Linked DNA regions of Schizosaccharomyces pombe. The gene in region 1 interacts genetically with each later gene. Each region holds a gene or a part of one and is shown in the gene's direction. Other genes may lie near its edges.

Region 1 (4,113 bases):
GGCCACTCAAAATTTGTAAAGTGATTACCCCATGAAATCCGGCATTTCTGATTAAGACAAAACACTGGAATTCCAATGGACGAAAACGAGACCATTGGGGAAGAGTAGGTCCAACGTCGGCTAGTGGCTGCAAAAAGGAAGCATCAAATTCTTCTTTTGACGGAAGGAGTGGTTCTTCTTCCTCTAATTCATCGTCTTCTGGAATATCATCCACTTCAGTAAAATCAACGTCGTCCTCAGTTGCGTCTAAAGATGAAATGTAAGGTTTTATAAATTGTAAACAGCGAATGCAACGCTCTGGAGAGTTAGGAACAAAAGTAAGGCATTTGCGAAGGTATCCATTATTGTGTAAATATGTAACTTGTCGAGCATAATATCTTCGTTCCCAGCGACTGTGGTTTAAATTCACCATCGCACGAGCATCAACATGACGGCAAATTCCGTTACGTGAAGACTGAACAGCATCACATATATTGCTACGAATTTTTTCAGTGTTATAAATTTGCTTACCAGATACCTGAGCAACAGTTTCGTTAATTGTGCTGTTCTCTGACTCAAATCGCTTTAGAACTAGCAGAGCAGTTTGTGCTCTGCTTCGATTAATGGCAACCTTTGATATTAAAGAAGCATCTTCTAGCGCTTGAATACGACCGTAAACGCTTCGAGGCTCCTGCTTAGTCTCCTTACATAATTGGATTCTATCAACACCTTCCTGCCTATATCTAGATATGCAAGACAATAATTCAAAGGCTAAAGGTTGAATTTTTGAATCTGTCTTCGTCTTGTAAGTGAGAGTAAGCCATTGCCTGTCTTCTGAAGCGAATAAGCGTATACGAGCGCGTAACTCAATCGTGATATCTTGGTAATTCCAAGGGATTTCTTGCATTTTACTTCGTAATCCAGTGGCATCTTCATCTTCAATCCAAACCTCAATTCCATCTTCTTTTAAAATTAAAGGCCACACAAATGTTTTATAGTTATCGTCTAAATTTTGTACGATACCTTGCCGAAAAAAAAAATTTGCAGCAAATTCCCATAAACGATCTATGCTACATCCCGATGATCCATCCAAAGCAATTTCTTCTGAGCAATGCCGAATGAGTGAATCCATAAGGGCGATTCGAACGCTGGTTCTAACACTATGTACAAAAGGAAAGCGTGGTTCGAGAGGTGAAAGTTAGTGAAAATAGTGATACTTTATGAGTGTTTTTAAAATTTTGTTAAATTTTATACAGAAGAACTTAAAGACATATTTAATATACTTTAACCGATGTATTGAGTTATACGACTGCTAAATAGTATACCGACACAATAAACGACTAAATCGGTTCACATTTTAATATGCTCTTATTCAGTAAGCAGATGGTAGCTATTATGAGTATATTCTCATATGCCAACCTTGTAACCGAAATGATGGTTACATAAAGCACAGCTCTAAATGATATATACAGCTGATAAAACAAAGTAAGAAAACTTTCTCAAAACTTTTCTTTTAAATATGAATTCTGGAATATTGAAGTGAACGCTAAAGTCCGCAAAACTGAACATTTAATTAGCACTAAATTGAAAAGGGCACATGGTGGAATAGTTTACAAATTTTCTGCTACGCGCGGCAATACCCACTGCAAAAGCATAATCTTTTCTCTGACTAAAAGATTCTTTTTAGAATAACAATTGCGCAATTTGCAAACTACTCAGAGGCCAACAGAGATGAGGATTCTTTATGAAAGTATAATCTTAAAAAGGTAAAATGACTTAAACAATTATTACTAAACAAACAATACATTTTTCTGCTTGTTTGAAATTAGACTACATTAAATGAGCTAAGGACATAAAATGAGTATTCTATATTTAAGGAGCTTTTAACTAATAAAATATACTATCAATTGTGTATTAATTTTAATGTCAGGCGGTATAACAGTCGCGGAGATCTAACTAGCTTACCGTAATATAGTGTGCAGAGATTATGCAGCTAGTAAATAAGCAAACCCGTTTTATTATGTATCGTACTGCAGTAGTCCAGATATGTGACATTTCCTGATGCTCTACCATTATTAATCGTCAATTGAACTCTTTTACAAATTAATATAAATTTATAAATCCAAATCCTTCTTTTTTCTGCACTATTTTCAATAACTCATAAGACTACAGCTCAATTTGTCAACTACAAGTATTTTTGCAAAGTTTTGGGAAAAACTCCCAAGTTTTACTAAGTTTTACTATTTTAAAGCTATTTTTGAATCTTCGCATTACGAAATGGGTGGAAATAAGCGTGCATACTATGCAGTAGCGCGTGGTCGAAATACTGGTATATATAGTACATGGTAAGACTGCGTATCTCAAGAAAATGGTTTCGTTGTTAAATATAAGTTTCACGTTAAGCAAGTTTCGATACGGTCGTATGCTTTGCTTCAATTCAATCTGAATCGGTTTTTTCAAGATGATCTCTTATTAACATTTCCTTGATGGATACACCTTGTTGTTTAACAAACTCTTACTAATTTTTAGGGATGAGGCGTCGGATCAGGTGAAAGGTTATGGAGGTAATCGCTACAAGAAATTTGACAGCTATGAGGCTGCTCAGGAATTTTGCAGGACCGAAGGAAGTCGCTACTCCTCGTCTTCTGGCCCATATCGCCGCAGTACAACAAGTTATGGGTACTCTCCATATTCTTCTAGTTCCTCAAATTACTCTGCTAGACACTCCGATAAATATAGAAAGAAAATTTCTAGAAGTTATAGTACCGAAAAAGATATTGAAATATTTTCGAATGACACTCATGAAAAATCAATTGCGTGCTCGGATCGACAGGTCGTCTATGCTGACGGTTCTAGTTTGCGAAATGGGAAAAAAGGAGCTGTTGCTGGCTGTGGAGTTTTTTTCGGAAATGATGACCCAAGAAATATTTCAGTACCGTTGGCTGGGGAAGAGCAAACCAACAATCGTGCGGAATTGCAAGCCATAATCCTAGCCCTTGAAAATACATCTGGCGATTTGACCATCCGCTCTGACAGCAATTATTCCATTAAGTCACTAACCACATGGCTGCCTAAATGGAAGAAAAATGACTTTAAGACTAGCAATTCACAACCTGTAAAAAATTTGGATTTGATCAACCGCGCTTCAGATTTGATGAGTGACAGAAATGTTTCGCTAGAGTACGTGAAAGGACACAGTACCGATTACGGTAATCAACAAGCCGATATGCTTGCTCGGCGAGGAGCTTCTGAGTAAATGGTCATCTATGATGAGCGCTGTAAAAAATGGATATAGGTACATTCTTTTGAAATTTGCCGTATAATTTTCGTCTACTCTTCGCTGGTTGTATGTGCTTTTTTTGTTCTCGTTTTGCATAATGCTACATATTTTATTGTAATTAAATATCATGCTATTATAACAATTTTAAAGAGGAAATTGAAAAGTATAGATTCGGAGCTAAGATAATTTTATTATTTAACGTTGAAAATGACACTTCGCACTAGTCAACAATTCCCTTTTCAATTAAATTTGGTTCGGTGTCTTAACGGCAGTCATCGAAATCATATTGCAATGGACTTAGCAAAGAATTAATAACAATTCGCTTCGTAATGAATTTGAAAAGGCTTAAATAGTGGTTTTGAAACGAACATTCACAGTTAATAGGTAGTTATTTGACTAACGTGAAGAAAGTGTACCAAAAATACTTTGAGTTTAGACAATGGGTGTCTCTAGCTTTTACCCACCTTTGCATGTACAGCGTCGAAGGAAATTATTTAAAATACTTCAAGGAGGCTTCCCTGTGCGATCTTTGTTAGACATTGGATGTGGAGATGCTCGTTTTCTATCATATTTAGTACCTTGCAATGATCAAGTGCCTATAGAATTTCTGGCCGGTATTGATATTAACGAACAAAGTATTGAAAGAGCTACTGAGGCTTTACAGGTTAGAACCGAAGACTTTTTACAACTACGTTGGCGACCGCTACATATTGAATTATTGCTTGGTAATATTAAAGATTTTACTCATTATAAACATGTTGATGCGGTTGTAGCTTCAGAGTTTATTGAGCATTGTCAAGTTGCAGAGATTTTAGCCTTTGAAAAACTTGTTTTTGGAAACTTGAAGCCCAATG
Region 2 (4,015 bases), on another chromosome or scaffold:
TCCAATACTCAGAAGAGCATTGTTATACTGTTTGGTGAAAACAGCATTTGTGTCTAAGTAGAGATATCGCAAAATTGATTCAAACTCTTTAGCAAAATGTTTGACTTCAATTTCATGTTCACTGGGTCCCAATTTCGAAAATTTTGATTTAAAATATGAACTTCTGGCAGCTAAATAGAATTTATGAGCAAAAACCCTACCATATTGACCGGCAAAGACTATGTCAGTAGTAAAATGTAAAGCCGAGTTCGACAACAAGGAAGTTATGTGACTAGCATAAGGTTGGGACTCATCAATGGCTTTAGTAATATCATAAGAAAGAAGCATACGGCGAATATTATCATTAAGGGCACCATACAAACATCTTTCTCCTTGAAAAGTATCTCGTTCGCATAAAGCACCATTTTCAAGAAGAAATTTTACAACTTAAGCGTGAGAAAATATAATAATTGAGAGCAAAACATTCATAGCATACCTGGTTCATGCCCGCAAAGACTCGCAAGGACTAAAGGCGAGTAGTCAAATTGGTCTACTTGATTAATAGGTGTGTTATAGTTTTCGACCAAACTGGATTTTGAATTTAGCAATTGCAGTTAAAATTGTTTATCGATTCAATATTTTTAAATTGCACATACCTCTTGACAACTTCCAAATCTCCACGCCGACAAGCTTCACAAAGCTCAAGAAATTCTTGGGTATCATTTACTGTGAAAAGTGAGGAAGACAGCTTCTTCTCATCCATTGCCTTTGACCAAAGGTCATACTTGGAGAAAAGCTTTTTAGAATTTTCACCACCTTGCAATTCGACATGTGTTGTCCCTGTATTTTGATCTTGAGAAGCCATTTTAATAAATGAAGAACAATTAACAACCGATTAAAAGGTTATACTGAGCAAAGATTGCACTTATGTTCAACAGTATTATCGACTTAAAATTTAATTGATCATATGCGAAATGTAGTTGGTTAACGAGGGTTCTATGTAATTGTTCAAGTTCGATGTGATTTGTGAACGACTGACCAAGGCGGCGTCAGCATTTAACTACTACGTCTTCCACCACTTTATATATTCTTGTGTTTTCCGTTTTCATTAATCATATATCTTAAGTTAAAATTATTTGCTACATGAATGAGATAACTCTCTTTATTAAATCTTCCTCTGCAAATGCTGAACGAAGGATTAACCCACAATGGACTGTTAGTCAGCTTAAGACCAAATTAGTTCCTATCGTAGGGACACCAGAACAATACCAAAAACTTACGTATGAACCTGCTTCCAGTACAGTCCCTGGACACGTTTTCACTAGCGAAGAAGAGAATTTAGACCTAGGGGAATTCAAGCTTCAGCCTCTGGGGACTATAGTCGTTGAGGATACACGCCCTCCTCATTTGCGTCTAGACTTTGACGATCTTTCACAGGTTGATAAATATGTAATGCCTCGTGAACAGTATGAGAACAGGACAGATTCTGTCTATGCCTGGAAAAAAAGAAATCAGCTTGGACGATTCAATCCAGACTTTGAAGCAAGTAAAGCTTCTCGACAAGAATCTTTAAAACGTGAATTAGTCGACTTACAAAAAAATTTAAATTCTAGGTGCTGTGCAGCAGGAGAGAGATATGGAACTATTCGCTATATTGGACTAGTGCCTGAAATTAATAATGACAATCTGTGGGTTGGCGTCGAATTTGATGAACCAGTTGGGAAAAATGATGGGACAGTCAGCGGAAAGAGATACTTTAATGCGAAAAATAAACATGGATCCTTTCTTCGATCTTCTGAAGTTGAAGTAGGAGACTTCCCTCCAGAAGATATTTTAGAAGGTCTTTGATGTTGTTATTCGTTTTACAAGGTTCCATGTTAATGATTTCCTTTTTTTTTGTTAAATCTTGTATGCAGGCTTCGATTGCTAGGAGATGACTCGCTTAAGATAATGAACAATTTTCTAAAAAAATGAAAGTCTAAAAAGTAAATCATTTAGTTTAGTCATTTCTCAATTAAAATATTTTTACTCAATCAAAGAAAGCATTATAACTGTAATGAATTGTTTGTCTGGCTTTTCTTTTTTTTTTATTTACATCGTTTTACCGTAGTACCGCTAATTAAAACCACGAACGAAAGAAAACTGTGTTAGGCCTATTTGCGCATTCCTTCAACCCCTTTATTTATTTTTTTATTCAGTTTTTGAGCCAAATATTAGAAGTACTCTGATAATTCTTTAAAAGATACAAAGCAGCAATCTCAACATGAAAGATGATCACGATGCATGGGAACCAGAAGAACTAGTCAGTGACAATAACTCTTCAGAAAATGAGCTACAAGAAGACCAAAATTCTTCAATAACTTTTTTACCACCTTCAGTTAATAAATCGAATCCCGCAAAATCGAATTACTATCATTCAACAGTCACTGATGATATTTCCAAGAGTCAGCCATATCGATTAGGAGTAGATGAAGCTGGTAGAGGCCCTGTCTTAGGACCTATGGTATATGCTGTCGCTTACTGTCCAGTCGATTTCGATTTGACCAACTATGGGTTTGCTGACAGTAAAACTTTGGCCTCCTTAAAGCGAGAGGAACTTCTGAAATTAATTTGCAACAAATCTAACGAGCTAGGAAAAAACGTTGGATGGTCTACTATGTCTATTTCCGCAAGAGAATTAGCTGCAGGAATGCTGAGGTACCGGAACAAGTATAATTTAAATCTTCAAGCACATGATACGACAATTGACTTAATAAAAAAAGTTTATGAATCAGGAATAAATGTTACAGAGATTTACGTGGATACAGTAGGACCTCCAATATCATACCAGGAAAAATTACAAGCTCATTTTCCTCAAGCGAAAGTCACTGTCACTAAAAAAGCAGATTCCCTTTTTCCCATCGTGAGTTTAGCTTCTATCTGTGCTAAAGTTACTAGAGATATTCAACTGGAATGCGCTCGTGAAAGTATTCGAACTGAGAACTGGGGTTCTGGATATTCTTCTGACGCTCGAACTACCGAGTGGTTAAAAGTAAATGTCGATAAAATTTTCGGATGGAAGGGAGACATAGTTAGATATTCATGGAAAACCGCTAAGGATTTACTAGAATTACCTTCCAAATCACAGTCTTCGATTGAAATAGATTGGCACGAAGATGACGATACTCCTACTTTGAACTTTACACAGAAAAAGAAACCGAATCCGGCTTCTCGTTCGTGGTTTGGATCAGAGTTTTATTTTTAGTTTAGTTACTATACTCTGTCACTACTTTTGCCTAAGACTAATTGTGAGAGTGATACGAATTTACATTTATGCTTAAAATCATTAATTGCATTGCTTCGTGCTTTTGGAGCTACGTAGAAAACCTTTATTAGCATTTGGTTATAGATAAAAATAATATAAATTTATTGTTCTATTTACCCCAGGCTTCTGCTCTGTTTATTGAGTTTGGTTTAGCACCAACAATAATATAACGACTTGTTAAAGTTCGCTATTATAAAAATTAGGTGGTCTTCTTTTACTTCTCAGTCCGATTTTAGACTACTACCAAATACCGCTTTGTTGTGGAATCTCGTTTTTTTTTTGCATAGATACCCAATTTGATCAAATATGGCTGGCATGAGACTTATTTTAGTTGGACCTCCAGGTGCTGGAAAAGGCACTCAGGCCCCCAACATTCAGAAGAAATATGGCATCGCCCATCTTGCTACTGGTGACATGTTGCGCTCTCAAGTAGCTCGTCAAACTGAGCTCGGTAAAGAAGCTAAGAAGATCATGGATCAGGGTGGTCTTGTCAGCGATGACATTGTCACTGGTATGATCAAGGATGAGATCCTCAACAATCCTGAGTGCAAGAACGGCTTCATCCTGGACGGTTTCCCCCGTACTGTCGTCCAAGCTGAAAAGCTTACCGCTCTTCTTGATGAACTCAAACTTGACTTGAATACTGTCCTTGAGTTACAAGTTGATGATGAACTTTTGGTCAGACGTATCACTGGTCGTCTCGTCCATCCCGGATCTGGCCGTAGCTACCAC

What was found.
Region 2: mutations in rnh1 (region 1) and rnh201 are lethal when combined (synthetic lethality), as found in Schizosaccharomyces pombe (2 studies listed by BioGRID, with this or other methods).

What each region holds. Positions count from the first base shown.
Region 1 is NC_003423.3:2,747,913-2,752,025, reverse strand, and holds rnh1 (ribonuclease H Rnh1), read left to right. Parts: upstream 1-2,003; 5' UTR 2,004-2,256; coding exon 2,257-2,324; exon of another isoform or gene 2,325-2,508; coding exon 2,509-3,235; 3' UTR 3,236-3,537; downstream 3,538-4,113. Other genes in the region: transcription factor TFIIIC subunit Sfc3, read right to left, coding at 1-1,111; hen1 (S-adenosylmethionine-dependent methyltransferase), read left to right, coding at 3,699-4,113. UniProt on the Schizosaccharomyces pombe protein: Endonuclease that specifically degrades the RNA of RNA-DNA hybrids.
Region 2 is NC_003424.3:2,252,346-2,256,360, forward strand, and holds rnh201 (ribonuclease H2 complex subunit Rnh201), read left to right. Parts: upstream 1-2,150; 5' UTR 2,151-2,242; coding exon 2,243-3,223; 3' UTR 3,224-3,511; downstream 3,512-4,015. Other genes in the region: ubiquitin ligase Btb3, read right to left, coding at 1-425, 476-567, 636-844; alp11 (tubulin-specific chaperone cofactor B), read left to right, coding at 1,123-1,827; adenylate kinase Adk1, read left to right, coding at 3,590-4,015. UniProt on the Schizosaccharomyces pombe protein: Endonuclease that specifically degrades the RNA of RNA-DNA hybrids. Participates in DNA replication.